Arabidopsis thaliana: one gene and its partners. The protein of the gene in region 2 interacts with the protein of the main gene of each other region in a pairwise test. Each region holds a gene or a part of one and is shown on either strand. Other genes may lie near its edges.

The links.
Region 1: the proteins of CPK15 (region 2) and SPIK interact in a protein complementation assay, tested with the Arabidopsis thaliana proteins (one large-scale study listed by BioGRID).
Region 3: the proteins of CPK15 (region 2) and ARGOS interact in a protein complementation assay, tested with the Arabidopsis thaliana proteins (one large-scale study listed by BioGRID).
Region 4: the proteins of CPK15 (region 2) and PLDGAMMA3 interact in a protein complementation assay, tested with the Arabidopsis thaliana proteins (one large-scale study listed by BioGRID).

The regions. Positions count from the first base shown.
Region 1 is NC_003071.7:10,891,570-10,899,971, reverse strand, and holds SPIK (Shaker pollen inward K+ channel), read right to left. Parts: upstream 5,720-8,402; 5' UTR 5,370-5,719; coding exon 5,128-5,369; intron 5,048-5,127; coding exon 4,682-5,047; intron 4,602-4,681; coding exon 4,544-4,601; intron 4,447-4,543; coding exon 4,129-4,446; intron 4,032-4,128; coding exon 3,786-4,031; intron 3,701-3,785; coding exon 3,602-3,700; intron 3,525-3,601; coding exon 3,492-3,524; intron 3,370-3,491; coding exon 3,184-3,369; intron 3,096-3,183; coding exon 2,901-3,095; intron 2,806-2,900; coding exon 2,730-2,805; intron 2,634-2,729; coding exon 2,061-2,633; intron 1,878-2,060; coding exon 1,603-1,877; 3' UTR 1,300-1,602; downstream 1-1,299. Other genes in the region: AT2G25605 (DNA-directed RNA polymerase subunit beta), read right to left, coding at 1-20, 289-431; AT2G25590 (Plant Tudor-like protein), read right to left, coding at 6,200-6,413, 6,530-6,671, 6,756-6,807, 7,620-7,709, 7,849-8,094, 8,276-8,402. UniProt on the Arabidopsis thaliana protein: Highly selective inward-rectifying potassium channel that could mediate potassium uptake in the pollen membrane. Plays an important role in pollen tube development.
Region 2 is NC_003075.7:11,637,627-11,644,812, reverse strand, and holds CPK15 (calcium-dependent protein kinase 15), read right to left. Parts: upstream 4,012-7,186; 5' UTR 3,967-4,011; coding exon 3,198-3,966; intron 2,837-3,197; coding exon 2,693-2,836; intron 2,608-2,692; coding exon 2,455-2,607; intron 2,357-2,454; coding exon 2,244-2,356; intron 2,163-2,243; coding exon 1,995-2,162; intron 1,913-1,994; coding exon 1,785-1,912; coding exon of another isoform or gene 1,781-1,784; exon of another isoform or gene 1,703-1,780; coding exon 1,603-1,702; intron 1,516-1,602; coding exon 1,435-1,515; coding exon of another isoform or gene 1,426-1,434; exon of another isoform or gene 1,356-1,425; coding exon 1,326-1,355; 3' UTR 1,051-1,325; downstream 1-1,050. Other genes in the region: AT4G21950 (uncharacterized protein), read right to left, coding at 208-372; AT4G21930 (senescence regulator (Protein of unknown function, DUF584)), read right to left, coding at 4,369-4,920; AT4G21926 (uncharacterized protein), read left to right, coding at 4,843-4,898, 5,048-5,097, 5,749-5,852.
Region 3 is NC_003074.8:22,127,039-22,132,257, reverse strand, and holds ARGOS (auxin-regulated gene involved in organ size), read right to left. Parts: upstream 2,754-5,219; 5' UTR 2,218-2,753; coding exon 1,825-2,217; 3' UTR 1,786-1,824; downstream 1-1,785. Other genes in the region: AT3G59910 (Ankyrin repeat family protein), read left to right, coding at 169-601, 682-1,479. UniProt on the Arabidopsis thaliana protein: Promotes cell proliferation-dependent organ growth. Takes part in the AXR1-dependent auxin signaling pathway that requires ANT during organogenesis.
Region 4 is NC_003075.7:7,120,651-7,129,196, forward strand, and holds PLDGAMMA3 (phospholipase D gamma 3), read right to left. Parts: upstream 5,668-8,546; 5' UTR 5,233-5,667; coding exon 4,249-5,232; intron 3,848-4,248; coding exon 3,731-3,847; intron 3,641-3,730; coding exon 3,446-3,640; intron 3,356-3,445; coding exon 3,107-3,355; intron 3,013-3,106; coding exon 2,944-3,012; intron 2,864-2,943; coding exon 2,716-2,863; intron 2,636-2,715; coding exon 2,487-2,635; intron 2,407-2,486; coding exon 2,209-2,406; intron 2,122-2,208; coding exon 1,924-2,121; intron 1,796-1,923; coding exon 1,502-1,795; 3' UTR 1,315-1,501; downstream 1-1,314. Other genes in the region: AT4G11845 (Interleukin-1 receptor-associated kinase 4 protein), read right to left, coding at 6,244-6,310, 6,401-6,486, 6,690-6,775, 6,874-6,982, 7,309-7,422. UniProt on the Arabidopsis thaliana protein: Hydrolyzes glycerol-phospholipids at the terminal phosphodiesteric bond to generate phosphatidic acids (PA).

The DNA of each region.
Region 1 (8,402 bases), on a different chromosome or scaffold from region 2:
GTTTCCTACGGCTCTCCAACCTGGTAAAACCATCCATCCATAAACATAAGTTATGAAGAAAAAAGATGGAGAAACATAGAAAGGATCTCTAATGGCTACGCCCTACAACTATAGCTTTGCAAAATCGAATTTTTGATCATTTTAGTTTCTGGGAACCAGAATTCTACAAACCAATTGATGGACGCATTCGGATCTGTTCGTTTCCTAGCTAAAACCCAGTAACACCCAAAGCTTGAAACATATGAAAATCGAGGAAATTTGAGTTAAAAAGAGATTTTAAAGGCGTACCAATCGGCAGAGAGGAAATCGGGAACATCGGACGAAGAAGCTCGCACGAGATTACGATTAAGCCTACCGTAGCCATTGAAATGCTTGACATTTGCAGACAAGGAGGAAGGTGGAGATGGAAGCACGAGAGACCCAAACGACATCGTTCGAATCGGTTCTGATGATCTTTTGAGTTGCTCTCGACGGCAGTGGTCTTTCAGTTTTAATATCTACCTTCCGATACAACGGAGCCGAGAGATAGACACGGAATCAAACCAGAAAACAGTTTTAAAATGCTAACCGAGCTAGATTTTAAAATTTGAAGCCGGTTAAGATATTATCTGCACCACAAATCACACAACACAACACTCTCTAGCCTCTAGGACTAGGAGTTGACCGGTTCTCCCACAACCGGTCGCACTCTTTTAACATCAATCGCAAAACCGTTTTGAACCGCTTTTATCTTTTATATCACTTTTTTTTTCCAACATCAAATTCTCATCAACCTTAAACCATTGTCTAATTTGACAAGGGTTTTAATTCAACTAGACATAAAATACAACTTCACCTCTTTAGGTTGATTGAGCAGATTGCGGATGTTTCGTATTGGTCAGAGAGATGGGAGCAGATTAAGCTCTCTAGAGTCTGATTCAAATATTACCTTCTTGCATTTGAAGCATGAAATAATAATAATATTATAGTGTGTGTTGTCTCTAACTCTATCTCAATCATTGTGCTCATTTTCGGTAATGCTTTGGCTCCCAAGTCCCATCAATATCACTTTACCATCATGGATCTAAACAAAAATGAAAGATGAGATGATAATTCATCTCAGAAATAGGATAAGTCACCTAGAGAGGATTTAAGCTTGATTGGAAAAGATGAGTGAGGAGTTACTCTCAAATCTCGACCTCGCACAAAAGTTATAAATTTTAACACTTGCTTCTTCTTAGAGACTTAGAGAAGAAGATTGTCTAGACGTTTAAGAAAGGACCTTTATCCTTGTATGCTTTCTGAAAAAAACAAGATTGTTTCCATACTTCTTGTAGATTTCGATGTTAATATCATGAGGTTGTTAGAGAGTTCTTTTAACAGAAAATAGTCAACAGGATATATATATATATACATGTGAAAAATAGTAAGCAGTGAATATATACACAAAAGCAAAAAAAAAAAACCTAAAAGATATTTCAATCCCGGAGTTGATTGGGGCTTACGGTTTCCCCTAATATTAGCATCATATCACCACCATAAAGCTTGACTGTGGTGGTTTGCGAGTTTGCGTTAAGACAAATAGTTTTCATTACTCAAAATCGAAAGAGAGTTGCGTGTGAATCAAGGATCCCTTGATAGAAGGAGAAAATCGCCATCTCTGATAAGAGTGATGTCGTCAATTTCAGCTCCTTCTCTCGTAAGTACTTTAGTTGGGACGAATCCCATCTTATTTTCACCAATTTTCAATAGCTCTTCCATAGAATTTGGTAACAAAACAACTTTTCCACCAGTTTCACCGTTTTCCGGCGAACTTATCGTCACTCTCTCCGGATAAATCATACTACCTCCTCCTCCAGGAACCGCTGGACTTCTTGGAACTTCTCCTCCATCATCAGCTGGAAAAAAACCAGAAATGAAAACCAAATTTGTAAATTTGTAAGGAACAGAACAATGTAATGAACGTTGTGAATTGTATATAAGAATGACTATTGTGATGTGAAAAGTTCTGAAAATTATGGTTACGTGACAAGAAAGCAACGAGTATCTAGAGAGCAGATGGAGAGGTGAGGTGGTTTTACCGCTATTTGCAGCTGAAATGATTCCGAAGAGCGAGTTTCTGAAGTTATTGAGTTTCCGTTTCTGAGAAACAACAACCTGACCCCCGTCTAAGACGAGTTCTCCTGAATGCATTGTAGGCTCACTGCTATACTTCATTAATGGCTTCCCTGTCACAGGACTCTGAGGTATTCCAGGGATAGGTTTCGGTTTTTTCTCCACAGGCCTGTGATTATGAAACAAGGTTTTGATTTCTTCATTCCCTTGATGATCGGCAAGACCACGAGGAGTCCATCCGTAAGAATCCGGCCAGTCCAAGTCAGCACCTTGGTCTAGTAAGAACTTCACAATCTCCAAGTGTCCTTCTGACACTGCTCTGTGTAAAGCTGTGGTTCCGTTTCCATCAGGGAGTGTGACGTCGCCGCCATATTTGATGATGTCTTTGAGTGCGTCTAAGCAGTTTTTCTCCACGGCTAAGCCAGAGAAATAGCTCACTGAGTCTAAGCTTAGCTTTGCTCCATTCTCTGCAAGGAGTTTAGCAATTTCTCTATGTCTTCCTATGATTGCTTCCCACAAGGGTACATTGCCTTCGGAATCTGTAAACAATGTACGAGCCACCGATAATTTAGTACTACATGATCCTATCATCCTAAGCTAATTGACCTAGTGAAACATTATTTTTTACTACTTACCTCTAATGTTAGGATCTGCTCCATGTTCGAGAAGTAAAACGACGCAATAATGGCTTCCCTTTGATGCTGCTATATGCTGAGATATTCAAAGAAGAAACATAGAGAGTGAGCAAATTTGGTTTAGGCATTAAAAGGAGGATGATGGTATATACAAAGGAAATCCGGGCTTACCAGCGCAGTTCGCCCGTCCTTATCCATTTCATTAGGGCTTGAGCCTCGTCTTAGTAACTGATGCAGCAATAAATCATCTCCTCTGGCTGCAGCAAAGCACAAGCTGAGAGGTAAATCCATTTTCCCTTGAGCCAACATGTGTTCTGTATCAGCCAAAACGCCTTTCATCACTGGATCTTCTGAGTCTTTTAAATGCTGCATGAACCACAACATATCTGTTATGGAACTGGTCCTGTGTGTCAACAGGTTGAAACAAACTGTACTATTCAGAGTTATTACAAACCTGAAGAAGATTATTCATGATTATTGCTCCATCTCCTACATTTGCCTGAACAAGATTTAAGAGTACTGTACGGTTCAGACGAAGCAACTGACTCAATCGCTTGGTACGAACAGTAAACAGCTGCGGTCTGTAACATAGTACCCCAACTTCACCAAAAACATGTCCTCTCTGTGCTTCACTAACTACCTGTAAAGAAACACATACACAAAAACATTATCAAATATGTTTTGGTTCTCCAATTGCAACAAAGTTAAAGAAGAACACAATCATATCTTAAAAAGAAACGGTATAATAAAAGCTAGACTTGCCTGCTCCACTCCATTTACACGTGCAATTATGTCCTGAATGACATAGGAATGTGTCAGGAATAATACATGATGATAAAGGAATGTGTCAGGAATGTACGAAAAACACTTACAACAGCTCCGGTCACCAATATGTAGAAATCTGTTGGGGCTTCATTTTGCAAAATCACATCTTCTTTGGGAGGAAAATACTCTGCTTTCATTTCCGTGACCTACAGGACACCGTAAGTTAAGACTTAATGTGAATAAAGTGACCACTTTTAGCATGCAGGACTTCTTGCGTTATGGGAAACATACCAACTGGAAAAGAAGATCATTGGATATTCCATGGAACAAGTAAATTTTGTCAACAACTTCATAGAACAGATAATGTGATATGCTGGACCGAATAGCTTTGGGAAGAGAATCGATTATTTCTTGCTGCTGTAAGCCTTCTGAATCAGTTCTGTACCTCAAACACAAATGAGCAACCATCTGATCTTGTAACCGCACTGGCAGATTGTTCCTCTGACCAAACCCTGATGCGGCTTGGATGGTATCTCTCTAAAATAATGCAAATGCTTAAGACTCATGAAACTTCACTGAGACCAGACTAATTTTCAGAGAAGTGCAGTTAACAGTACCGGTACATAGAACTTACAAATTTTCTGGTGCGGCCGGTCACATGAACCACCAAGTTGGTCATATTACCAATTATATATGCTGACAGTCCAAGATTAAAAACCATGTAGAAAAGAATGAAAGTCATCTCTCTTGAGTTAACACCATGTATATCACCATAACCAGTTGTGGAGAAAGTAGTTATGGACCAATACATTGCCGTGTTATACCGCACTGCAATAGGAGACTCTTTCCAATTTTCATCGGTTAATGCCATAAACGTCTTGGATGGATCTGGATAATGTGCAGCAATGGAATAGAGGAAACAAGCACCACAATGAATCACAAAAAGAGTAACCTGCATTACCAAATCAAATACTGTAAATTCACAGCTAAAAAACTGTTCATTTGAAACCAAAAAGAGTGTAAAAAACAAGTAGACAATAGCTACTTACAAGGAGAAGCTTCGAGCAGCGAACCCAAAAGTAACTGTATTTCCTGTCTTTCTCTAACCTGAAAAGAAGACATCAATATTATACTCAGCTGGAATTTAAACGTTTTGGCTGGAACGATAAACCGGCCAAAGAACTCACCTGGCAAAACAATTACTGACCCTACGAAGACGCCATAAACGTAGCATACTGAAAATACCATATCCCTGAATACTCTCATGAAGCAAGCTCCCAAAAATTTCGTAAGGAAATGTGGAAACCACGTCGAAAATCAGCCAAGTCGACGCATATCTCCAAGCTATTCTCTTTGGATCATCGACAAGAAGATAAGTTACCTTGTCCAAGAAGGCAACAAAGAATGTCAAGACTATATCAACAGCGAAAAACCCGTTGACAATGTTATCGAGAATACTGAGAGGTGGTCTTGGCTTTTGCAGAAACCCAAATTCAAAAGGTGATGCCCAAGCTGTGTAGAGCACCAAAAACACCAAAAACGTCTCCCACGCTCTGAAAAATAATGTTTTACCTCAGCTAAACCCTAATTTAGCGATTAGATTAAAACAGAGTCAAAATTTGAAAAAACGGACCTGTAACGAGGATCAAAAGGAGAGACGATGAAGCGAGGGAGAATGACGTCACGAGAGGAACGATTGTTGGCTCCAAGAGAAGGAAGAAGGCCTTTGCTAAGGCTATACTGACTCATCGTCCCGTCGCGAGATAAATGGTCAGCAACATCATCCTCCGCATCTTTGGTTCTTCCTCCTCCTCTGCCTCCGCCTCCTTCGCCGTCGTCTTTCACACCCCAAAACCATACCTTCTTCTTCTCCATGCTTCAGATCCCTCTCTCTTTCTTTTTCCAAAATCAAAATCCCTTGCGGATAAACACGCAAGGTTTTTTTTTTTTTTTCTCCGAATTCGCCGGTTTCGAATTTCCTTTTATATCCTTTTTTCTGTTACGTTTGTTTCTTTCTTTTTTGTTGTGGGCCCCAACAGGTAACTATTTTCCCTCCTTTTTCTGCTTTTGTAGCCACAAAAATAGCAAGTATATTTCGGTTCATTGGTCTTTTAGTGCTCATAGAAACTTTCAAAATTAACAAATTGGCATGTTTTTTTCCGTTTTGCTCTGGGAACTGAATATTAACTATAGTTTTTTGGTTAATTAGGCTTTTGTTTGTCCCCCAAACATACTAATATTACCAATACTTAAAAACATCATACAAGTTTCTGTTGTTCAATAATTGGCAAAATTCAAATAGGAGGACTACAATCCAAAAACGCTTGGTAAATCGAGAAAGAAGGAGGAGGTTGGTTTATGCGCAAATTGGTATTTAGATAATCATTTCCTGGAATCAATCTACTCTGGTACTTGGAAAGCTTAATTGTGACAGTTTTGGTAACTGTGTTAGTTACATGTTTGCGTCTGTTGGCTTTGAATAAAATCAATAACGCAACCCAAGTAACTTTTTCTGCTACTGCTTTTCTGTTTGGTTTCTCTGATGCTTTTAAGTTGCAAAGGAATTTGATTTTATGAAGTTCTGGTGAAACTCAAGCTAGTGACATGTAGAAGCCACAAATCAACTTCAAGTCAAGAATAAAATAATATAAGTAAAACAGGTGGTTCCAAATAATGTCAATCTTACATAGAACACATTGAAAACATTATAAGTTAATGCAGATCATAATGTTGTTCATAAGTTTTGTAACAACCATAAAATTTTGAATTAACATGAGTTCTAAAGAATCAGAAATATTCAATTCGATTATTTTTCTTAGTGTAGAGTATAAGCGAATATAAAACCGATAGTGATGGCATAAGAACATCGCAATTCGCAAGGCTTCTTCTTCCTCTCTGAGTCTTTTCAATTTCTTTAAGCTTGAGACATAGGGAAAAAGTTGGATTTGACAAGCGAGCAGCTAGACACGTTTGATTTATGCAGAGGTCTATACACACCGATCATAATATTTATGCTAACGTTTGAATCCCCGCACCTCGGTAATTCAGCTTGAAATGTCATAGCCTTGATTTCATAAAAATTGAGTACTTTTCTGTAGATTTTGATGACCAGGCCAACTGTACATATACCACCAACAAACAAGCATGGACAGTTCCACAATCTACTGGTCACATTTGCTGAAAGAGTAAAAGTATTCCACACAACCTCAATACTGTCTCAGATAGACACAGTTCATAAAGAACTTTCAACCTAATACTTACCAATCGTCGGCAAACTTATCCAACCTGCAGACTGTAAATGATTATCCTTCGGCTAGGAACAGTTCACAGCCTGTGTAAAGAGGGTATATATATCCAAGAACACCTGAAACAGATCAGTTATGTACAGCCAAAAAGAAAACACAGCACAATTTAAATTATGAATTTTGAGGAAGAAGGGGCATTGTGTTTTGCACCATTCAGTTAACCTCATGCATCAGAGTAAGATCTCTAGAAGCAAGCAAGATCTGCAGTCACCCAACATGGCTACAGTTTTCCTGAAAAATGTAAGGTAAGTTCAATAATCCATCACTGATGAGGAGAAGACAAATGACTCGACTTATCCAGAAGCTTAAACACAATAAACTAAAGTATATATATGAAGAAAAGACATGACTCATCTTAGAACACAGATACTGTAACTTTTGTTTAAGTTTAATCATCCGGAAAGTACAACAAAGAAAATTAGACTATAAGAAGAAAACATCACAATGAGGATTTGAAATTTTCAGTCAGAGTTATTTCCCTTCTGCTGTCTATACAATCATTTTAACAATCCTCCGGTAACAGAACAATATACAACAGTTGATTCCACATTGCAGGGAAGTATGGCCAACACCTGAAGATAAGACTGTCAAGGATCAAAAAGATATAATAGATACTAACAAAATTAACTGTGGGTACCGGCAGACTTGAGATTTCTTAGCTCCATCAAATGTTCATCATTTGATATATTAAGAGAAAGTCGGAGATCAGTTAGTGATGCTTCCTGATCCCAACTTAGGGAGCCAGAAGCAAATAACTTCGTCAGTGTACTACGGTAAGTGTAAAGTTCAGGCCTACATGATCTCACCACTGATCCATTACCTGATAATGAATGTTTTCGCCTAGCTTCATCTCTGCATCCAGATGCTTCTTTTGAAGATTCAGCATCACTACTACAAGAGTCGGCACCATCTAGAAAAGAAGTTGGTTTGTCACTCTCATCATAACTAATAGGGCTACAACTACCAACTGAGGATGCATCAGTATCATAACAACTATTAGAGACTGAGTTTCCTGTACCAACACATTCACTAAACCTTTTTGATCTTACCCTGACCATTTGACGGAAACCACTTTTATTCTCGTTACACGAAGCTTTCACGTACAATTCAACACCCCTACGTTCAGAACTATCATTATATACCTTCTGTGCTGAAGAAGAAGCAAACCGGTGCTGGTGTCCTTCTTCCTCCAATGATCGTATCTTCTTAGGACTTCTAGTGCATGATTCAGCAGACTCCGCCCAATCACATGGTGAAGGTCTCTTCAACACTCTTAAAGAAGCAACACTAGTCTCCTGTGGCCACACAGTTCAGAAGGGGGTTCACATTCTGGTGTTCATCTGATCCAGTCAGCGTGGAGGACTTCACAGAACAAGATACCTGAAAGATGATTATAAGACAGTTAGACATTAGCATCATTGTTCAAACATCACTTTAAAACACAGTACCATTAAATAAATAAGTAAAAAAACTTACCTTTCCAATCATAACCCATCTTTCATCTTGCCAAGATTGTCTAGCCCTGAGGTAAACTTTGTGAACCGTGAGTTCTGCTTTAGCACCAAGTAACCGAACAACATAATATCTTCCAGATAACACCTCC
Region 2 (7,186 bases):
AAGTGATTTATCTTCCTTGTTTATTTCTTTAGAAGAAAATTGATATAGCGATTGTTCCCAGTCTCATGATCATAAAGAGTGGTGGAGCCATAAATGACTTTTCAACTACATGACAAACACTGATAGTTACAGTGATCTATTTTCAATGAGACAAAACTTCCACGAAGCTCTCTTGCTAGGATCAACGTTCTCAGTCAATATATAGAGTCAACGTTTTGTGTCATCCGAGAATGTATCCTTATTACCGTAAGCGTGCATTGACACATCCCCCCTACAACCTAGATCCATGAGCTCTGAGTTGATCTTCTCTTTAACTAAACAAGGATCCAGACCATTAGGGATGGGTAACTCCCCATGTCCCAAAAGATGCATGCGTCAGCATCTGCCAGGTTTCATTATAATTACGAGACGGAATTGAAAAAAAAGCAGATCCATTATAATTAAGGGATTTACTAAGGCAGATCGACGGTTAGATATACGCTGGTTAACTAATGACGGATCGATCAGATGAAAGCTAATCGAGATCATAGACAAACAATTTCGACAAAGAGAGAAAGATCTTACTTGAATATTCTTCGACCGGATCATAGGACATGGTTTCGTCCGCAGCGGATGAGATACTTTGTGAATTTAGGGTTTAGTATCTATAAATTTTATGTAAATCGAACAGTTAACCTTATGTGTATATGAGCATTTTCTTATTTTCAATAGATTTTTTTTTTTATAACTTTCCATAAGTACTAGGGTTTTGTATAACGTAAAGTATGGTTCAAAAAGTTATAAATAGACTAGGAAAATATGATCACACATGAGTAGTTTGGTCTTTTGCCCACTTAGATCATATAAACATGGAGCCAAAATTCCAACCGACCAAAAAACTTCATGCAGTTAGCGAGTTTTGGTTGAAACATGACGAAATCTCTTTAGTTTTCCCCAAAGAGGGACACCTTGGGAATGTGAGAATCGACGGTTACGTTGTTAATAAATTGCCGAAAGAATTTTTTTTGGGAGGCTTATGGGGATCACGGTATCACAATTCATTTGGATCCAGAAGGTGAATTCTTTTTCTTAAAACCCACTTTTCTCTTTATACATACATTTATATATGTATATAATCTACATCTCTGAAATATTTTCCAAGTGATGAAAGTATGAGATATAACATGATGTTACTACTATACTACAACTTCTTTATTGGGCACACATGTATAACTCCGAAAGTAATTTGCTGGTACTCTAAAGTAACCAAAACTTTGGACAAGACATATCAGATAAGAGAAAGAAATTAAAGGCCACTTGTTTTTATTGGACAACACAACTAGTATCTAGTTTAAGTCAGCAACTCTTTTGCACGGCTGTAAAAAATGTTGGATATCTAATTAATTTTTAAGTTCCTCTATCAAGGCTTCTCGATTTATCTATCAGTCATTGGACTGGAAGAATTTTCCCTTGTTGTGGCAGTGTGATACCACTTCTCATCATCGCACAAAATTCTTCATAGTTTATTCTTCCATCCTGCAAAAGAGACCCATTAATCTCAATCTTGGCTTAAGACTTGTTCATAACCTTTTTGATGCTGTGTAGAGGGAAAACAAAACTTACGTTATCTGTATCGACTTCCGCTATGACTTCTTTGATGCTAGCTTCATCTCCCATACCATACTCTTTCATGGCTGACTCCAACTCATCCATTGTGATAAACCTGTGTTAAGAAAAATCCAAATTTGTTTCTTAAAGTAGCGTCAAGTCTATATTTACCTTGTTCCTCAAGGGACTAAACTTACCCGCTGTTGTCTTTGTCGAAGTATTGGAAGGCTTTGAATACGTGTTCATCTCGATCAAATCTGTATCTATGCATCGTTGCTGAGATAAATTCGATGTAGTCAATTGTTCCATTACCATCTACATCAGCCTGAAACATATATAAAATAAAAGTCTTTTGTTAGAATAATAAGTAACATAAGAAGCAGAGCAAATAGGATGGCAATACTTACGGCTTCCATGAGTTGCTTCACTTCAGCTTCAGTGAGTTTAGAGCCAAGTTTAGCTAGCCCGTTTTTCAGTTCTTCATAAGTGATTGTGCCGCTTTTGTCAGTATCCATATTCGCAAACATGGTTTTAAGACCTTTAATTTCCTCTTCCGAGAGACTCTCTGCAATAACCTGCAAAACAGATCAGAAACAGAACCAATGATCAGGGAATATAGAAGAAAATGCTACTTCTAGATAGAAATTTGTTTTTACCTTTAGAGCTAGCTTTTTAAGCTTATTCATTGCTCGGAATTGCTTCATCCGAGATAAAACAGCACTATCAATAGGCTTGTCCGGTGCTTCTCCTCCTCTGATCCAAGGATGTTCTGAAAAAACAACACCACAAGGATCACTACAGATTAGTAAAGCACTGAAAAGTACGTCAACTACAAAACCGCACTTAGAGAGACCAATGTGACTTTACCAAGAGCTTGTGCCGCTGAGATTCGTTGCTTAGGGTCCTTAGTAAGCAACTTCCTCACAAGATCTTTAGCACTCTCAGATATAGAAGGCCATGGTTGGCTATCAAAATCAATTTCTCCCTTTATAATCTCATTAAATATCCCCTTCTCAGTTTCTACAATGTAACCACAACAACAACACAAATAAACAACATAATTAAAAGGATAAACCAAATCAAAGAATTGGTCAGATTTTATTACCAGACCAAAAAGGAGGCACACCACAAAGCAAGATGTATAGAATAATCCCTGCACTCCAAATATCGATTTCTTTTCCATAACTTCTTCTTAATACTTCAGGAGCAACATAGTAAGCACTTCCTACTATATCCCTATAAACTTTCCCTGCAATTTTTGTTTTACGGTTTAGAAACAAAACACATTAAGCATATGAACACAAGATCATCAACTAACTAACTAAACTGACATAATTTGACAATAAGGAAAGGAAAAGAACACACAAGTTCTATAATAATCCATTGACACACATTCTCAAGTTCACACAAAACTAGCAAAACCTCTGATTTCAAGCTTACCACTATCTACTAAATCACTAAATGAAACAAGATTCTTAAGATACAGACTATTCTTAACAAAATCTATATCCACAATATAACTCCAACATTCATCAGAATCTTAAGATATCTAAAACATTCGCATATATATACTAAAAAGCAGAACAAGAGATATGATCACACAAACTCACCTTCTTCAATGAACACAGACAATCCAAAATCAGTAGCTTTAAGCATAGCATTCTCATCAGTACTAGCGAGCAGAAAATTCTCAGGCTTGAGATCACGATGAATCACTCCCATGAAATGACAAATCTGAACAACATTCAAAACCGATCTAATAACACCAGCAGCTGCTTTCTCAGAGTAATGTCCTTGAGCTATAATCCTATCGAACAATTCACTACCACCACACAACTCCATCACCAAATGTATCGATTGTCTATCTTCATAAGCACCTTTGATCTCAACAATGTTCTCTTGTCCAGACAAATACTGCATTATCTGAATCTCTCTCTTCACATCATCTATGTCTTGCTTTCTCGTTAGTTTCCTCTTGAGTATTGATTTGCAAGCGTATGTGTTGCCTGTTGAATTCTCTTTGCAAGTGTAGGTTATACCAAATTGGCCTCGACCTAATTCTTTACCTAACGTGTAAAGTTTCCTTATTTCTTCAAAGGGTTTGCCTAGAATTGTCTCTGTTTCTCTAAAAACGATTGGTTTCAATGGTTGTGTTAGAACGTGCTTCTTTTCGATTTGCTGATTAACGGGTTTGGATTCTTGTTGGTGATGATGATTTGATTGGGTTGTTGTCGGAATTTGAGGAGAAGGAGGTTTCTGAGGCTTGAGAACATCACGAGAGACATGGTTTTCAGGTTGATTTGTCGGAATTGAGCTCTGTACGCTGCCATTGATGATATCACTCTCTGTGTTTCGGTGTTTGCTGCTAAAGCAACCCATTTTTAGGTTTTTTTTAATAGAATTTCTTGTGTTCTCGGTTAGAGGAGAAGTAAGTCCGATTGGGAAATTTATGTTTTCTCACGAGTTTTTTTTTATTACCATTTATGTCCCGCCGACATTAACGGTTTTAATTTAATTTTTACACGGAAATATTCCATTTTCAGCTATCTTAAATTCTTGATTATTCTAATCAAAGCTAGAGTTTAAGAGAAAGACCGTTGAATTAATTTTTTTGATATTGAATTTGGTTGATCAATGTTAAATTACATGTAGAATAGACGAGTGATTTTAAATAAATGATGATTACACTAGTTATTGTATAGTGCTTAATTAATTACTTCAACTCTATGGACAAATCATATACTACAATCAAATATTAATGATCAAATTAATTACGTAAAATTAACCATAAAACCCGGTTTGGCTCCACACGGCGTCTCTGACCCGTCTCATGTCACGTCCTTTTAACGTTCTTCCCACGCCCAAAAACACGGACGAACCACCGTCACCGTTACGGCTACGCGCGGCCACGTATTCATGAGGCGGTACCATCGCACTCTCCCAATCACAATCCGCCACGTCAGCATTATCATTATCGTTATTATTATTATGCATTGACTTGACGGACTCCACCTTTAGGATCTTGCTCCAGTCAGGAACTTTCACCGGCGCAGAAGTCGCCACGTGTCTCTTCCTCTGTCCATCACTCGGAACGGTCAGGTCACTCACGCGTCCTCCCTTCCGTCTCCATTCACTGCCACTGGCCTCGAGAGAGCGTGCGTTCCACGCACCTAGTTCCTTTGGTTCGTCAGGCTCGACCACCGACCAGACATCCTCTTCCATGAGCTCCAGCTCAAAGGTAGTTTCTCCGTCCACATGATGGTCATCGGACTGCTGATGGCTCCCAAGAAACCTCTCGCTTCGACTAATCGGTAAGCTCCGACCTTTGCCCATATCTCTCTTGGTTACCTAAGAAAATTGTATACCCGCTGTGATTTAAATCGTAAATTACGTTTATTCACCTAGTTATCAAAATTAATACTTTTTCGTTGGGTTTTTCAAAATATATTTGGAAGTGAAGGTGGGGGATGAGGATGAGCATGTGTGTGTGTGAATATATATACACTAAAGGTGAATAGGTATTGCTTTTTGTGTGTGGTTTTACTCAGTTATGTTCGGTAAGATCAGAAGAAGATGTCATAGTCCACGTAAAAGAACCATTTAGATAACGACGCACTACTATTTTGTATTTCTTTCAGCATTTTAGACGAGAGCTAGTAACTTCAGACTTATTTTTTCCCATTCTAAAAGTAATTTCAATCATATACAATGTGATGTCTTACTTGCCGACGTACCATCATGCATTCTAACAACATTTCTACAGTAGCTTCAATATAGATTTGTGAGACACACGATGATTAATTTTGATAAGTAAGGAATTTTATATCAAATCTATATTAATCCATATAGTCCGTGAAACTTCTGATATTCTTGTCATTTAAAACCCTCATTCACAGTATTGAAGTATAACTAAAATCATGGTACCATTTAGAGATTTGTGCACGTCCTAGTATGTACAATAGTCGTTAAGCTTAGCCAAGCATACGTGAAATATATGAATGGCAAATGCTTTGAGTTTACATGAAAAAAAGATTTGAAATGAGAAACTATAGTTTATTCCCCCGAATTTAGTTTTTGGTATTTTTGTATGTATCCGAAAGAGATGGTGCAGATTCGACAAAATTACATAAACATATAATTGGCTTATTTCATTCTCTGTAGCTGAAGGTGGGGTCTATATATATCTCCGCATGGGAAAGCACACAAGATATGTCGCAGTTCAGCTGTTCGACACGTGTTCACTCATTGCAAGCAGGTCCAACTAATTTTGTCTATTAACGTTGACACGTGGTCTAATCTGAACCCATCAATAGGCAGATTGAGACCGGACTCGACGAGGGTGTTGTTGGATTGGAGAGTGAATGGCTAACGATGGAGACCGACGAACTAAACTAGCAAAGTCTACATGTGGTCCATGATTGTTCTGTCCTTTCCTTCTTTTTAACTTTGCCTCAATTATTAGTGTTTTTATTAATCAATTGATTACTCAAACTCTTATCGTTTTTCCACTATTCATATTCGAATTCATTACATAATCTTATACCATAAACACGTGACATGCATGTCCCATACTCCATTGTCCAAGTGATTGATATGTAATAATTTATTAAGCCATTAACAAATGAAATATGATTGATTGGATTTTATCAGTTCATGTGTGTCAAATCTCTCATATATTAAGACGAACTTTCTCAAAAAAAATATTTCAAATTTTAAGAAAACCATGTGTCAACTAACTTGTCATGAGAAGATAAATAAATTTCGGTAAATCTAGTTCTAATCCTATAAGATGTAAAGAAAGTATAAAAATTAGTCAAATTTTGATTGTCTATTAGTGAGATAGAAAATATTATGAGCAAAATCTGCATGTATACACGGATAGTTTATCTAGTATTAGAATTTAAAAATACTCAATTCCTTTTGTAAGCATGAAGTCCTGAACAGTTTATTGACTTATTCTTATTTGTTTAGTTCATTTTTTTCCTGGTCGATTCGTATTTGTTTAGTTCAATGTTTGGTATATAACGATTTTTTCTCTTTGGGGGAAACGGGCTCCCCAACGATACACTACTTTAACTGTGAATCAGGCCTATTTCAGTTACTCAATATGGGCCTATAAAAGAAATGACATAATGCCTATAAAAGAAATGACATAATGCCATATAGAATTAGTTATACTGTACGTAATTCTTGCTATTGGTATTTGAATGTATATCTAATGGATGAAAATAATGGACGAGAAAAATGAAAATACTTGACCGTATTCTATTTTTTTCTTGGTGGAAATTTGCAATACGTAGTTTTGACCTGGTTCTGTTCATACGCAGAGCAACTAAGTACGATGACCAAAATTTCAATATACTGTACAATATTGTACACGTGAATTTGGAGGAAGAAGAGAAAGAGATTATATAAGTGAAAAAGGAATCAGTAAGACAAGAAAAAGTCAAAAAGCGATGCCCTTCCCATGCAAATAGATAAGCTGACAGTGTGACACTTCACACGTTCCTTCTTTTATAATCAAAAATATATTTCGAGTCAAAAAAAGAAACAAAAATAATTATTCCTTTTTTAACCAAAATTTTTACCCATAGATTAG
Region 3 (5,219 bases), on a different chromosome or scaffold from region 2:
TTGGTTATATCTGTATGTAATTGGTTGTCAGGATAATCAAATGACACTGCTAGTATTTGTGGGCGCTGATGTTACTAAATGTCATAGACAAAACAATTCCGCTTAAGAAAACTTTAAATCAGTTTGTTTAACATGTGAGTTCATATTTGGTTTGTACATGATGTATAGGTTGCATGAGCGTCTCCAAGAGTGCAACGGGGATGAGATTCTAAAAGCAGAGGCTGGTGCCAAAGTTCAGAAGTTCACTGAATGGGCTCTCAAATGTATAGGTTTCCACTCCCGATGCCAGGGGGCAAAGGATAGAGTTAGCCAAAATTCGGCTGCTGAAATTGAACTACAACTTTCTGCTTTCAAGATGTTCTTAGATCTAGCAGGAAACCATCTCTCAGGAAGAGACTTCACTGAGGCCTTTGATGCAGCTTGTTTCCCGCTCACTCTGTTCTCCAACTCGTTTGATCCTGGCTGGGCATCTGGGATGTCAGCTACTGTTATACAGGGACTGCTCGGTATGCTTGTTGAAGGTGGCGCAGATAATGTGAACCAATGTTTCCTTGAAGCTTCACGTTTTGGTAGTACAGAACTTGTCCGCGTCTTATTGCAGGTAAGCTTCCATTCTTTTGATTGCTTCTAGACTTATAGAAGGTCTCTTTTCGTGCTCAAATATTGTATTTCCTGGAGCAGATTGCCCAAAGGAACAGCTTAGATGTTGATGTGGACTTAGCTCTTGGTTTTGCCTCGCATTATTGTAAAATCGGAACAATGAAGTGCCTAGTGGAAGAAGGTAATGCCATTGCCTTCTTGGGTCCCTTAATGAGAGCAGCAGAGAGAGGTTGCATGCAAGTTGTTCAATGGTTTGTGAAAAGAGGTTGCCGTGACATGGAGCTTTGCTTGGCTCTAACAGCGGCCACTTCAAGTTGCCAAGTCGAGGTAGCTGCTTATCTCCTCCCTCGTGTTCCACCACCTGTCTTAACCGCTCTCAGCATCGAAATCCTCAAAGCAGCAGGAGAAAGAAGCGGAGGGTCTCTCCAAGGAGTAGAGTTTCTTCTCAAATCAGACTTCTTAGGAGATTCCACGGCTACATACTCAGTGGCAGACAGCATCGCAAGGTCATCAGAAGACGAATCCGTTCCTTCAGATCTAAAATCGTTTCTCCAAGAACACTGGTCGGAGTCAGCTTTTGAGAAAGGAATGAGAGAAAGCCATGACGATTTCATGAATTTCATGAGAGTTTTGAAAAAAGGGGAGTCAGCGATATCCTTAAGAGACCTTCCTGCACCGCTAAGAGTAGCAATAGCGTACATGCCGCTGTACAGAGAGTGCATGAAAGCGGACGGTCGGTTACTGTCTCAGAGGCTAAGAGGACAGCTTGTAGAAGCAGTGAGACAGCTTCAAGGCTGTGCTGTTGCAGTTGTGGAAGTAAGCCAGACTCGTAACCTTATGGCGGTTTTGGAGCATCACCTTACCGCCATTTTCGATTGAAACAAATGGATTCTGCTTTTGGGCTTCACTGGTTTTCTAATTTCTACGAATAGTTGAAAATAAGCAAATAAATACTACGATTTAAATTAACGGATATTGGGATTTGGGTTTGAGATGACGAAGTGAGGTTTTTTTTTTTTTTTTGTATAATTTCTTCTTATGATGCTTCTATATTATGTCAGTCTCTTCTCCTCCATTTCTCTTATTGTGCGTTGAAGTATTCTCACATATATATATTATGATAATTTAATGTAATATTTATAACTTACATTTATATTGTATATCAATTTCATTGGATTAAGAACCCTAAGATTAATTAAGATCATCATATAATAAATTTCAGATTTACATGAAATTGCAAGTTACATCTGTATTAGCATTAGAATGAGAAGAAGGCATGAAGGCAAGAACGACGAGTAAAACCATAATCCCAATGGGAACCAATAGCAGCATAAACGGAGGCGGAGGTAACGGCGGCAAAACTAACGGAAGTATTAACAGAGATGCCGTTAGACCAACCAATAGGAACAGAGACTCTAAACTGAAATAATTCGCCGGGATCATCATCCTTTTCTGCGCCGAGAAACTCCGCCGTAACTCTTGCTTGCTTTTCTCCGGCGAACTTCGAAAGCTCATGTTTTTCCGGTTGTTTCTTCCGACGTCCATGACTCGGTTGTTCGAATAACTGTCTTGAATGTTTATAATATCTTTTTGTAAGTTTGAGATTTCTCGAATCATCTACAGAGGTTGTTTTGCTGTGTCTGGTTTGGATTTAGAAGATCAGTGACAAAATTTTGCTCAAAGATCTGATCTTTAGGGCAACTGGTTAACCAATGCAGCTTGATCGAAGCAATTGGTGAAGAATTCGAGACAAAATAAGGATGGCCCACGATTCAGAAACAGAGGATGCAGAACAAATCCGAGTTAACTCAACGATTCAGATGTAAAGGAAGAAGCTTTGAGGTGAAGGAGTTTGAGAAGCTTTGTGTATTGGTTTTGGTTGGATCAAGAAACTGTGTGAAACAAGTACTAGTAGGGAAATGAGGAAGACAAGTAGCAATGAAAGAGGAGAATTTATTAATAAAGGAGTTGGAGGAGAATCAGAAGATATGGGGGGAGAAAGAGAGAGAAGAGGGTTCAGTGAATTTAGGGATTTTCTGATATGTTGAAAAGACGAAAAAGAGGAACGTTTATTATATAAAGGGGCTGACAAATGTGAGGAGAAGCAAGTTGCTGAATTTGAAAGATTTGAATTTCGTGTGGCCTAGTCTTCCTCCACAATCACAAGGTTCTTCTCCCCTGGTCTTCTTTTCTCTTACTTTTTCTACCATTTCTTTTACTTATATAACATATGACGTAAGCTACAATCTCCTCTGATCTGAATATGTAAGTAGTATTTAAATAAATGAGTTTTAAAACCATCTTTTTACCATTCTATAAATTTTTAAGAAAATAATTTTCTAGTTTATTTTGAATCATCCAGTTATTAATATACAGGTTGATTTTTAAAATTTTATAATCAAATATTTGATGCGATGAGGAAATTATTTTTATTAACGTACCTACCAATAATTTTGTCGATGTTTATGGATAAATAAGGACCCATAGTGTTGTTCTTCTCGAAGCACTTCATATGGTGAATGCGCTTGTTCTACCAGGAAATGTTGGGCCAATATATGTATATGCTCTCATATTTCTATATATAAAGCCAAGTTAAATAGCTAGGAATGTTTTTCAAATTAATTCACGATGCTATTTTTATATATTTACGTGTATATGGAGATCGGACATAGTAACGTGACAACACGCTTTGCATGTGAAGTCTTGATGAGAGGATGGTTTTTAATAAAGCCAAGATGTTTATATCGCCAGAGGATGAATTCTCACAGAATGATGAATTAAAGCAAATAGACTTCGCTAGTAACTCAGTCGGAAATCACTTGTTACTTTTAATATATAAATATAGTTAATCCCATAAATATAATTCATGGTTCAATGAATTGAGAAACATATAGGCCATTTCCTTTAGAAACAACGTCAAGTGGTTTTATTAGTTTTTTTCCTGGCCTTTAGATACAAAAAAGCCGATGAGTAGTTTGGGAGAATTGATAGATTACCAATACTACAACACTAGTTATCCACATTAATTGTGCAGCATTACTTTAATTAGGCCAAATTAACAATATACGAAGACTGCAGCTTCAGATATTAAACTATTTGACGTGTACCAACAAAGTTTTTTGCATGGATGACAAACCCTAAATTAATAATTTAGAATGTTTATATCGAAAGATCCGCTAGTTTCTACTCCTACTCTACAGATACGAAAATCGTATATTTAGGGATGAGAAAATGGATCTCCTTGAATCGTTGACCAAAAAAAGGAAAGAAAATTGTCAAATGGATCTTCTCAGCATAAGCTCAACTAAAAAAATCAATTTATTTGTGTTTAGTGTTTGTCTCTACAATCAAGAGAATACTTTTACTAAAATATGGGTTCATAAAAATGTTCACTGAATGTATACACTAGTAACCAAAACTTATTTGGTGCGGTTTAAGATTTATTTTTTATTTAAATAAAAGTACTTCCTTTTAAGTTCTTTGGAAACAAAAGAATTAATCAGTTTAAAATTCAGTTCACTTGTGTGTTTGTTCTTGGATAGATATACAGTATTACGATTAAACATCTCTATTTGTACGTTTTTAATTAGTAATGGAATTTGTTTATTGAAGACTAGATGAGTAAATAATGGTGGAAAGTTAAGATGTAGGTGTGTATATATGGCAACCCATGCATGATTATTGCCTTGAACACCGCACACATTTAGATTGGTGTCCAGTGGACCTGTATCAAAAAGTTCAAGAAAAAAAAGTATTATCATAATATTATTCCCTCTGTCTTACTAATAAGTCAGTCATGTTTAAATATTGCTTCTTCTTGTTTTATATACCCTACTTCTAATTTAATTGATTTTCGACAGTCAATATGCATAGACATATGTTTTGGTCTAATTCTTAGACACTTGATGCATTACAATAATCTCAATAACAAGGTCCATATGCTCAGTTTCATAACGTTCGCGAATTTTAAAGATTTTTGTTTTGGTCAGCTTTTTTAGATTTGATAATATTATTCGATTATTATCTTGTGAAATATTATTCCATTATTATACTAAGTATAATTTGAGAAAAAGATTACTACAGTATAATTTGAGAAAAAGATTACTACAGTATAATTTGGTTGATTTGTAAGGAGAAAGGCGATCGATGAGACACTGAGGATCGAACCACATGTAAACGTCACGTGGCTCTTTGCCTTTGATTCAATGCATGATCTCTCGAGTCTCGACCAAACCAACTTGCCTAATTAATATTCCTCGTACGACTCTTTAATCCCCTTTTTTGTTTGCTTAAAAAAAAAGATTACAAATTATTTTGTTTGTTGTTTTTTTTTTTGTTTTTTTTAATCCCCTTTGATACAAATTATTTTGTTATTGTGGAAATTTAACCCAAATTATTTGAAATTCTTTCCCCGACAAGCATCTCTTATTGTGGTTGGTCTAATAGGATTAATGGTCGTTTTCGTGAGTGATGTTATCATGAAACAAGTTAATTGAAAAGTGTTCATAATTTGGTTTCCAAAATTTAGGAGTATGATTAGGTTCAGAGTATCATAAGTTTGTATGTCTTAGTGACAAAGACAAGAATAGGTATACTTACTTTTATGGGTTAAACCTTTT
Region 4 (8,546 bases), 4.5 Mb from region 2:
CTTGTAAAACTATTCATTGATAAACTACATTTCAAACTGGATCGCAAAATATTCACCTTTACTAGTAACTGACATAGCCTTGAATTAGTGTGACACATTCCAATCAAATAAAAACTATAAATCTGCAACCTTTCTTATTCAACTGAGCAATAGAAGATGATCAATTATGAATTTCTAAACCCTAATTTCTCGAACAAAATCAGAAAACTAGTAATCAATCCAATAATTATATCCACCACGATCCAGTGAAAGTCAAACAAATGCAAATCAGAGAGAGAGAGAGAATACATACCCGAATAGAAACCTAGACGCAAAGGGAGCAGTGGCGGCGGAAGAGAAGGAAGATGAGTGAAGACTGTGCTTGGATTGAGATTTCTTCAGTAGATCTAAAACTATAGCTATTCTCGCCATTACTAACAAACCCAAGCTTGATTCGATCGAATACACAAATCTCTCTCTCTATGCCTCTTAATCTCAATTGAAGTAATCTTCCTCGTTTCTACATCGGAGACTCGTCCGAGTGGTTCCGATTAAACTCCAAATCGCCTCCGGTGTAGCCTTTGAAGAGAAACGCGTGAAAGAGAGAGAGAAACACGGGAGTCGATTTTTATTTTCTCTTTATATATTTTCCCTTCACCCACTCACACAACGACACGTCACCCGTCTCTTAGAGATTCTTTTGGCAAACAGAAGACTTTTACCTGTTGCTCTGGATGATTTTTGGTCTGAGATTCAGAATGGGAAAGTTTCTTGAGGAAGGAAGCAAGATTGTTCTAACCACATCAAGTGAAATTGTCTCCACAGTAGCAAAGGATGAAAAAATCTACCAAATGAAGAATGTTGGGAGCTGATCTCTAGATTTCCTTTTGGAAATATAATCAACCAAGAACTAGAAGGAATTGGGAAAAGGATTGCAGAACAGTGTAAGGTCTTGAACGAGCCATTGCATCAAAGAATTTCTCAAGCTACACTAACAGTATCCTTCCAGTACTTAAACCAAGCTATGACTCTCTTCCTCCTCAACTTAAGCGATGCTTTGCCCTCTGCTCAATTACTGCTGCTATGGATGGCAATAGACCTCTTATACCAACCAAGGAGCAGCACAAGATTGGAAAAATTACCTTGGTGATTTAGTTTGCTCAAATCTTTTTTTCAGAGATTGGATATCACCATGACAAGCTTTGTGATGCATGATCTTATGAATGATTTGGCAAAAGCTCTTTCAGGATGACATTTTTCATTTTCTACAAGCCAATGTGATATTGTAATCATATAGTACTAAAGATATGACAACATTACTAAATTAAATCATATAGTAAAAATCCACAACACACACTTTGATAGATCAATTGAAATATTGTAATAAATAGATTTACAGCTCATAAATTTGAAAAACTAGACCCTAAAGGCACACTTTCAATCAGATCACACTCAGATAGATTTCTTGAAGTGAAGGAAATAAAGAACAAATGTTGATCACTACAAGCCTACAAGGTAAGTTTCATATGGTGAGGTTTTCTTCTACTACAAGGAACGATCCTATGATCTTGCCACCGAGATCTGGGAATGTCTCGTATCCAGGAAGAGAACTCACTTTGCCTGTTCTATCAACTTGAACTGGATACTTAAGAAGATGACCTGGCATCTCTGTGACTTCTTCCGCTGCATATTGTCTCCAATTCAGCTCACTCAATTGCCTAACTCGTCTCACGCATTCCATGTTCTCTGGTTCCTCGAATTCTTGCTCTAGAAACCCTAGATGTTCTGCCCATAACGACATTCTATATCCAAAGATCTGCAAGAAATTGAGACAAACCAGGGTTCAGACATGTTAAAGAGAACATACATTGGTGGGTTTCTAGATTTTCGTCTTAGAATGCTATCCTAGATTGAGAAGTAGAAGTCTCTGAAAGTCTTATTTACCTGACCACGAGGACGAGAACCTTTCTTAGCCCATGAATGGTGTGGCTGATACCCTCCCATAGCGATTTCAGTGTCTCTAGTTCCTTCCAAGGATCTCTGGTTGATATTCGCGGAACCAATTAAGACAAACTCATCATCCACTACCATACCTTTGGAATGAACATATATCATGAATCTCCGACTCTTCAAAGCTTGTACCTAGATTGGTTTGTCGTTTTAATCAGTAAGCGAACCCATTAAGGCAAAATCGAAGATTTCAAAAGAAGACATTTAATATATGTATACCTGTGCAGCATTTAGCTGAGGTGGCTTCCGAGGACTATTATATACGCTAACAGTTCCATCAGGAACCTCTCTGGTTCCAACCTCTCTGGTTCCAAGACAGAAAAAGTTCAAAAAGTCTTGTGGCTCAAGCTGGCCATCAAGACCAACTTCCACAAGTGCCTTGTAGATGGTTTGATACATCATTTGCATGGTTTTGTGCTGCAGAGGTTGTGAAAAATTCCGGTAAAAAGAAGGTGAGATCGGGTTGTTTTTAGCAAAGAATCAAAAAATTATTTTACCTGCCAGTAGAGAATTCTTTGAATAGGATTACTTGTTGGAGCACCTTCTGGCCACATTGGAATGACAATATAAGCAGCAAACTTTTCCCTTGCTCTAATTTTGTTAGCAATCTTCAGCGCGATTTCCATCGGGATTAGATTATTCGCACCTGCAATGCCAAAACTCCTTGTTTACATATTGTACGCATCGATTACTAAGCTTTCCTTCAAAAGCTTTAAAGTTTCTTACCCAAGTTCTTGTTTGAATCCCAATTGAATGATGATCCAAGAAAATATTGGTTTTCAATGTAAATGAAGTGCTGAGCAGATCGTATGGCTTTAACATAAGCTGCATGTATGCTCATATCTATGAGAATGTTCTTCCCACATAGAAGGTTCTGTTCATGAATACATAATCAGTCGGAGATAGCAACATGATGACAAACAAAAACAGCTCAGAGTTGTGGTGCTATCTTACTCTTCCAGTAGCTTCCTTTGGGTCCTTTGGAAACCCTTTAACTGAACTCGAATCAATTGAACGGAAAACCTAAAGATTAATATCATTGGAGAAAAAATGAGATTCTTTTTGTCACCACCACAAATAACAATAACTAGCAAAAAAATTAGACTTGCTAAATTACCTGAACATGCCAAGACTCTGGATCATTATCATTAGCAGAAGAAGCTTCGGAAAGTCCCATTATGTCAGGAATTCTGTCTAACCTAAGCAAAGAATCATCAGAAGAAGTTCTTAGTCTCCCAATTCCGCGAGGTTTTGAAGCCTTCATCCAGCGTTCCTCAAAATTAGCAAGCACATCATATGCAGCTGGACCATCAATCTTGCTGTGCAGATCATGCCATGGTTCTCTTGGTCCATCATCCGCAGTAGTCTAATAAGAAAAACAGAATTTACATGGATCAAGAATAGCGGATTCTAATTCCAAAATTGCAACCAAGCAGGTTTTTTCTTAAATGATTACCACAAAATTTGGGTTATGGAAGTCATCTTTATGGATTGTCTTTAATGTCCTGAAGAGAGGATGCTTGGGAGTATCAAATCGTCCGTTGCACAAGTCTAGCCCTCCAACAAATGCTACAATCTTTCTTCGGTTCTGAGCTGCTTCAGCATCTACAATCATAGTTTTCTGATGATGCGTGTAGATTGTTTCAACTTCCTGATCATCATAATGACACTCAAATTTTAGACGCTGAAGCTATACACACAAGAGTTTACACAGTAATGAAGTAACTAATGAGCATCTTACAGATTTTTTTATGAAGCTGTGACCTTTCCCTCCATATCTAGGACAAAGGAGAACTTGCACCGATGAGTGCTTGAAAAAACGGCGAGTCTCCTCATCGCTTGTGTTCATAAGTCCTTTCTACATGCAACAAAACACCAGCTTTTAATTAAATAGATAGAAGGATTGTAGCTAAGTTAGTATAATTATCTAATTGAAGCAAACTCATGCTTTCCAATAAGATAAACAGAAAAAGGGTCAGAACTGAAACAATAGAGGAAAGTATGAAATGCAACTGAAACAACCAAATATGTGACTATGTGAGAAGTTAAGAACAACACATTAGACCATTCAAAACTGTGTACAAACAGAGAGGCACTCCATAGAATTATTTAAGTGATAAGCTATAAATCAAAATGGAGAAACAAAACAGAGAGGCACTCCATAAAATTATATATATATATATATACATGTTTGATTTTATGGGTAAGCAATAATAGAATGTCTTAATCAGAAAAAAACAGAGTTATGTAGATTCTTACTGTACTGAATCCCAAAAGACTCCTTGAAGTTGGATCATCCCACACCAAAACCAACACTCTAACACCTTCTTGAGATTTGACTTTAAGCAACTCTCCTAATGTACCTTGGGTCGGATCATTGTTACGACGAACCAGCCTAACCGGATGGAAAACTGACCAACCTGTGATATAAATCAACCTCCTTGCCCGTCGTATCGCATCAGCCATATCTTCCCAGCATTTTCCATGTCTATACTGAATCCCACCATCAAGATGTACACTCGGAAGAGTACCGTCATCAACATGAGCATCCTGATAAAGAGTAACCCTACCGCCTTTCCTTAAAGGGAAGTATGTACCGGGAACTCCTACACATTCAACACCAAAACCAACACCCTTTTGGTAAAGTCTCATTCTTTCCATTGGAATATACTGAATAGACAGACTCAACACAGCACCTTGTTTACAAGGCTTTCCTCTACTGTTAAGTATCGGAAACAGCCCTTCGATTCTATTCCCGGAACACAACTGCTCGGTTGGGATTTCAACAGCTCCAATGATCTGTGATCCAATAATATCACTGTCTTTCACAACAAAGTGAACTTTCGCAGCACTATGAGCAACTGGTACATCAAAATGCTGCATCCACACAGGATTCTCACTATTGCTAATAACAAAAGTTCTACCAATCACAGCACCAGAGATAGAGACAGTAACATAAGGATCACTTGTGATCTTAGAAGAATTCTCACCATCCACTTTATGATTCCTCCGACCTAACCCAAAAAACATCCCACCAACAAGGGTGTTATGGAAACCATCCATGTTAGGAAGATGTTTAGCTTCCTTAACCCAAATGTCTAAGTTACCATGTAATAATTCAACCCTCAAAGAGCCACTACTTGTATCAAACGGCACGAGTTGCTTGTCAAGCCACTGGCCAAACTCGTTGCTTGACCCTCCTCCCATAGACATAGTCTCGTTATAAACTGGATGATACGCCATGAAAAACAAAACTCAAAACGCAAAAGTAGGAAACTCTTAGTTGTCAGATCAAATCTCAAGCATAACCCAGTTCAGTGAGACAAAAGATCGATCACTTGGTGCTTGGTGGGGAATAATCGAGAGATCAAGATTCAACAAAAGGATAAAACTTTGAGATAATACAAACTCAGAGCAAATCAATGAATAAATGTGGATCTAAAAATATGGGCAAATTCAAATTAAAGTTCAGGTTTTTGTGAAGAAGAAGGTGAGAGGGAGCGAAGGAAAACGTTGACTTGAAACGGAAGAATCGGAAAATTTCAAGGATTTTTGGCTGCCGTTGTGGAATCGTCTAACTTTAGCCATTAATGACACATATATAAGATGTTTCATCTTTACTTAAACACAAATGCCAAATAAACTATTTGTGTTTTAGTAACGACGACTAAGAAAGAAGACTTCCCCACTTTGGTTTTTAGCTGCTCACGAAACTCTTTCTCTCTGGTCCCTCTTTTGATGTAACTTCAATTTGATTGACATAATTATTAAATTAAATCATATAGTAGTGTAATTAATAAATAAAGCATGAAATTTTCTTTAAATGAAATCAGTTACAAGCTTTAAATTTTTTTTTTGCTACTATGTCTTTTTGGATCCCAGATTAGACATGTAAACTAAGAGCATCTCTAATGGTTAACCTTGGATCTTAACAATTATTTCTATTAAAGTTTTGTTATTTCTAAGCTAAGAACAAAATGAGAGTATCTTATAAAAATAGTCCTCCAATGGTTAAGGTTCATAAGGGACAAAAATCAAATTTTTGTATTTAGATGTCTTTCAATACAAGGAACCATACAAACTTTTTTCATCCTTTTCGGCCCATGAATCATTCCAGTTATGTGTAGCCCTATGATGACTGAATGTCTAGCCCTATGATGGCTCTTGGCATGTAATTAAAGAGGTATGTTGCATTTAGAGATATTACCTGAGTGTAGCAATCGATTGCGGTTGTAAAATCTTTGGATCGGAAAGCTAAGTCCCCTTGCTTCTTTGAAAAGAGAGATTCCTGCATCTGGGTTGTCCACATTTGAAACGAGAGCTGCAGAAGAAGGTAAATAAAATCATATTCAAAACAAGTCCCTAATGCAAAAGACTAAGTAGTAAGCGAGAGGAAGGAATAGATTAACACCTCAATGGCAATTCCTTGTATCCAATCTTACTAAGTATTTCCTGTATGGCTGTAAGATCCATTCTTAAGCAGTATTTCCTGTATGGCTGTAAGATTCACTCTTAAGCATGCATCATCACCAAAGGATGTCTGAGAAAGAATGAGGCAGGAAAAACGATGATGATCATCATTTAGATTTTAGTAAGGACTGAACTAGAGATTCCTTCCAAGAACTATCCAGCAAGAAACAAAGAGCCAGGTCCTACATTACATCTAAAGTTTATATATCTTCTATTAGTAGAGAACTTACATGGCTCGGTGGAATATGTTTTCCACTAATGAGATCGAGCAAAACGGTTCCAAAACTGAAAACATAATACACTCTCTGGTGTAACTCTACCTGACACAAGATGAAGAAAGTGGATTTAGCTTTGGGAACTTTGTGCCCTGAAATATTTTGGACATATATAAACATGAAGCAGAGAGAGTTTTACCCGTTAGCAAATTTCTCTGTAGGAGTAAATGCCAAGTTAGTGCTATATAACTCTTCCCATCTCTGCTACTTTTCATGAGTCCAAAGCAAGACAACCTGGGATTCCCATCCTAAAAACCGATGAAAGATAAACAAAATTTTACGACTTCAAATACAGATCACTCAGAGAGATAAAGAAACATTGAATCAATATATTCACCAAAATAAATGCCAGCATTACAGAGCTTGATTAAGTAAGGTTCATGCTTAAGCAGGAAAAGGAGAACGTTCAAACACAAACCATCACCCAAATCTATCGTTAACTACCAGACTCACTAAAATTAATTCCAATTGACAAGATCTAAGAAAACCCAGTTTCGAAATTTGATGGTTTCAATTCCAATCATCAATCTCGGCTAAAAGGAACTGAAAAAAATGAAAACAGAGAGATACGTACCATGGGAAATAGATTGGAGCATACTCTCCGATTTGAAATCGTCGAGGGTCTCCACCGACGTTGAAATGAATATAACGACAGATCGGATCCGACGCATATCTCCTCATAATTCATCGGATCGAGTGATTTCGCGTTGAAGGTCGACAAAAAGAGAGAGACGATGAAATGGGGAAACAAACAAAATTTGTCACGTGAGTACTTTTTTTTTTGGGTTTTGTCATTATAATCCCACCAATGGTGTATCGACACGTCATCGCCTCTTAACATACCAAATAACTCTAACCTAAAGACACACACACCTGGTTGCACACAAAAAAAAAAAGACACACACTTCTTAGTTCTTATAAAGGAACAAAACTTGTAAATAGGGATATATGTCATGACCAAAAAGATATTGTATAAAAGATAATTTTTATTCAATTTTTTTTTTTTTTTTTTTGATCTGTTGATTTAGGTTGGAATGCAGAATTGTGGTGAATTCAACACCATCTCTCAAATCTTTTAGAGATAATATAGATAGATCAGAGAAGATAGAAAGGAAAAAAGATGGTGTGACGCGTTGAATGCTCCATGGCCACTGCAAGAAAATGTAATAACACTTTCAGAAAATGGGGATGTAAGTAAAAAAAATTCGGAAAAATGTCTGCAAACTTATGAATCTACTCATGATCAAATGGAAGAAGAAAATCTCAAGAATCTTGACATTATTATCATTTGCTGACAAATTGCATAGAGAAGAGCAAGTCAACAAATCCTTATCTGCTTCCCTATTCTAATAATTGTATTGAGTTTTTCCTGTCTGACTTGTTGCAACTCCTTGGCTCCAACAAGTTACGAGGGAAAACATAGCGAACTCCTTCCAGTAGTTACTACTTAAACTAAGCTATGACTCTCTTCCTCCTCAACTTAAGCGATGCTTTGACCTCTGCTCAGTATTCCCCAAGGGCCATGTTTTCGATAGGGAGGAATTATTGCAGTAGACCTCTTATACCAACCAAGGAGCAGCAGAAGATTGGAAATGATTACCTGGTGATTTAGTTTGCTCAATCTTTTTTTTCATGACAAGCTTTGTGATGCATGATCTTATGAATGATTTAGCAAAAGCTGTTTCAGGATGACATTTTTCATTTTCTACAAGCCAATGTGATATTGTAATCATATAGTACTAAAGATATGACAACATTACTAAATTAAATCATATAGTAAAAATCCAAAACACACACTTTGATAGATCAATT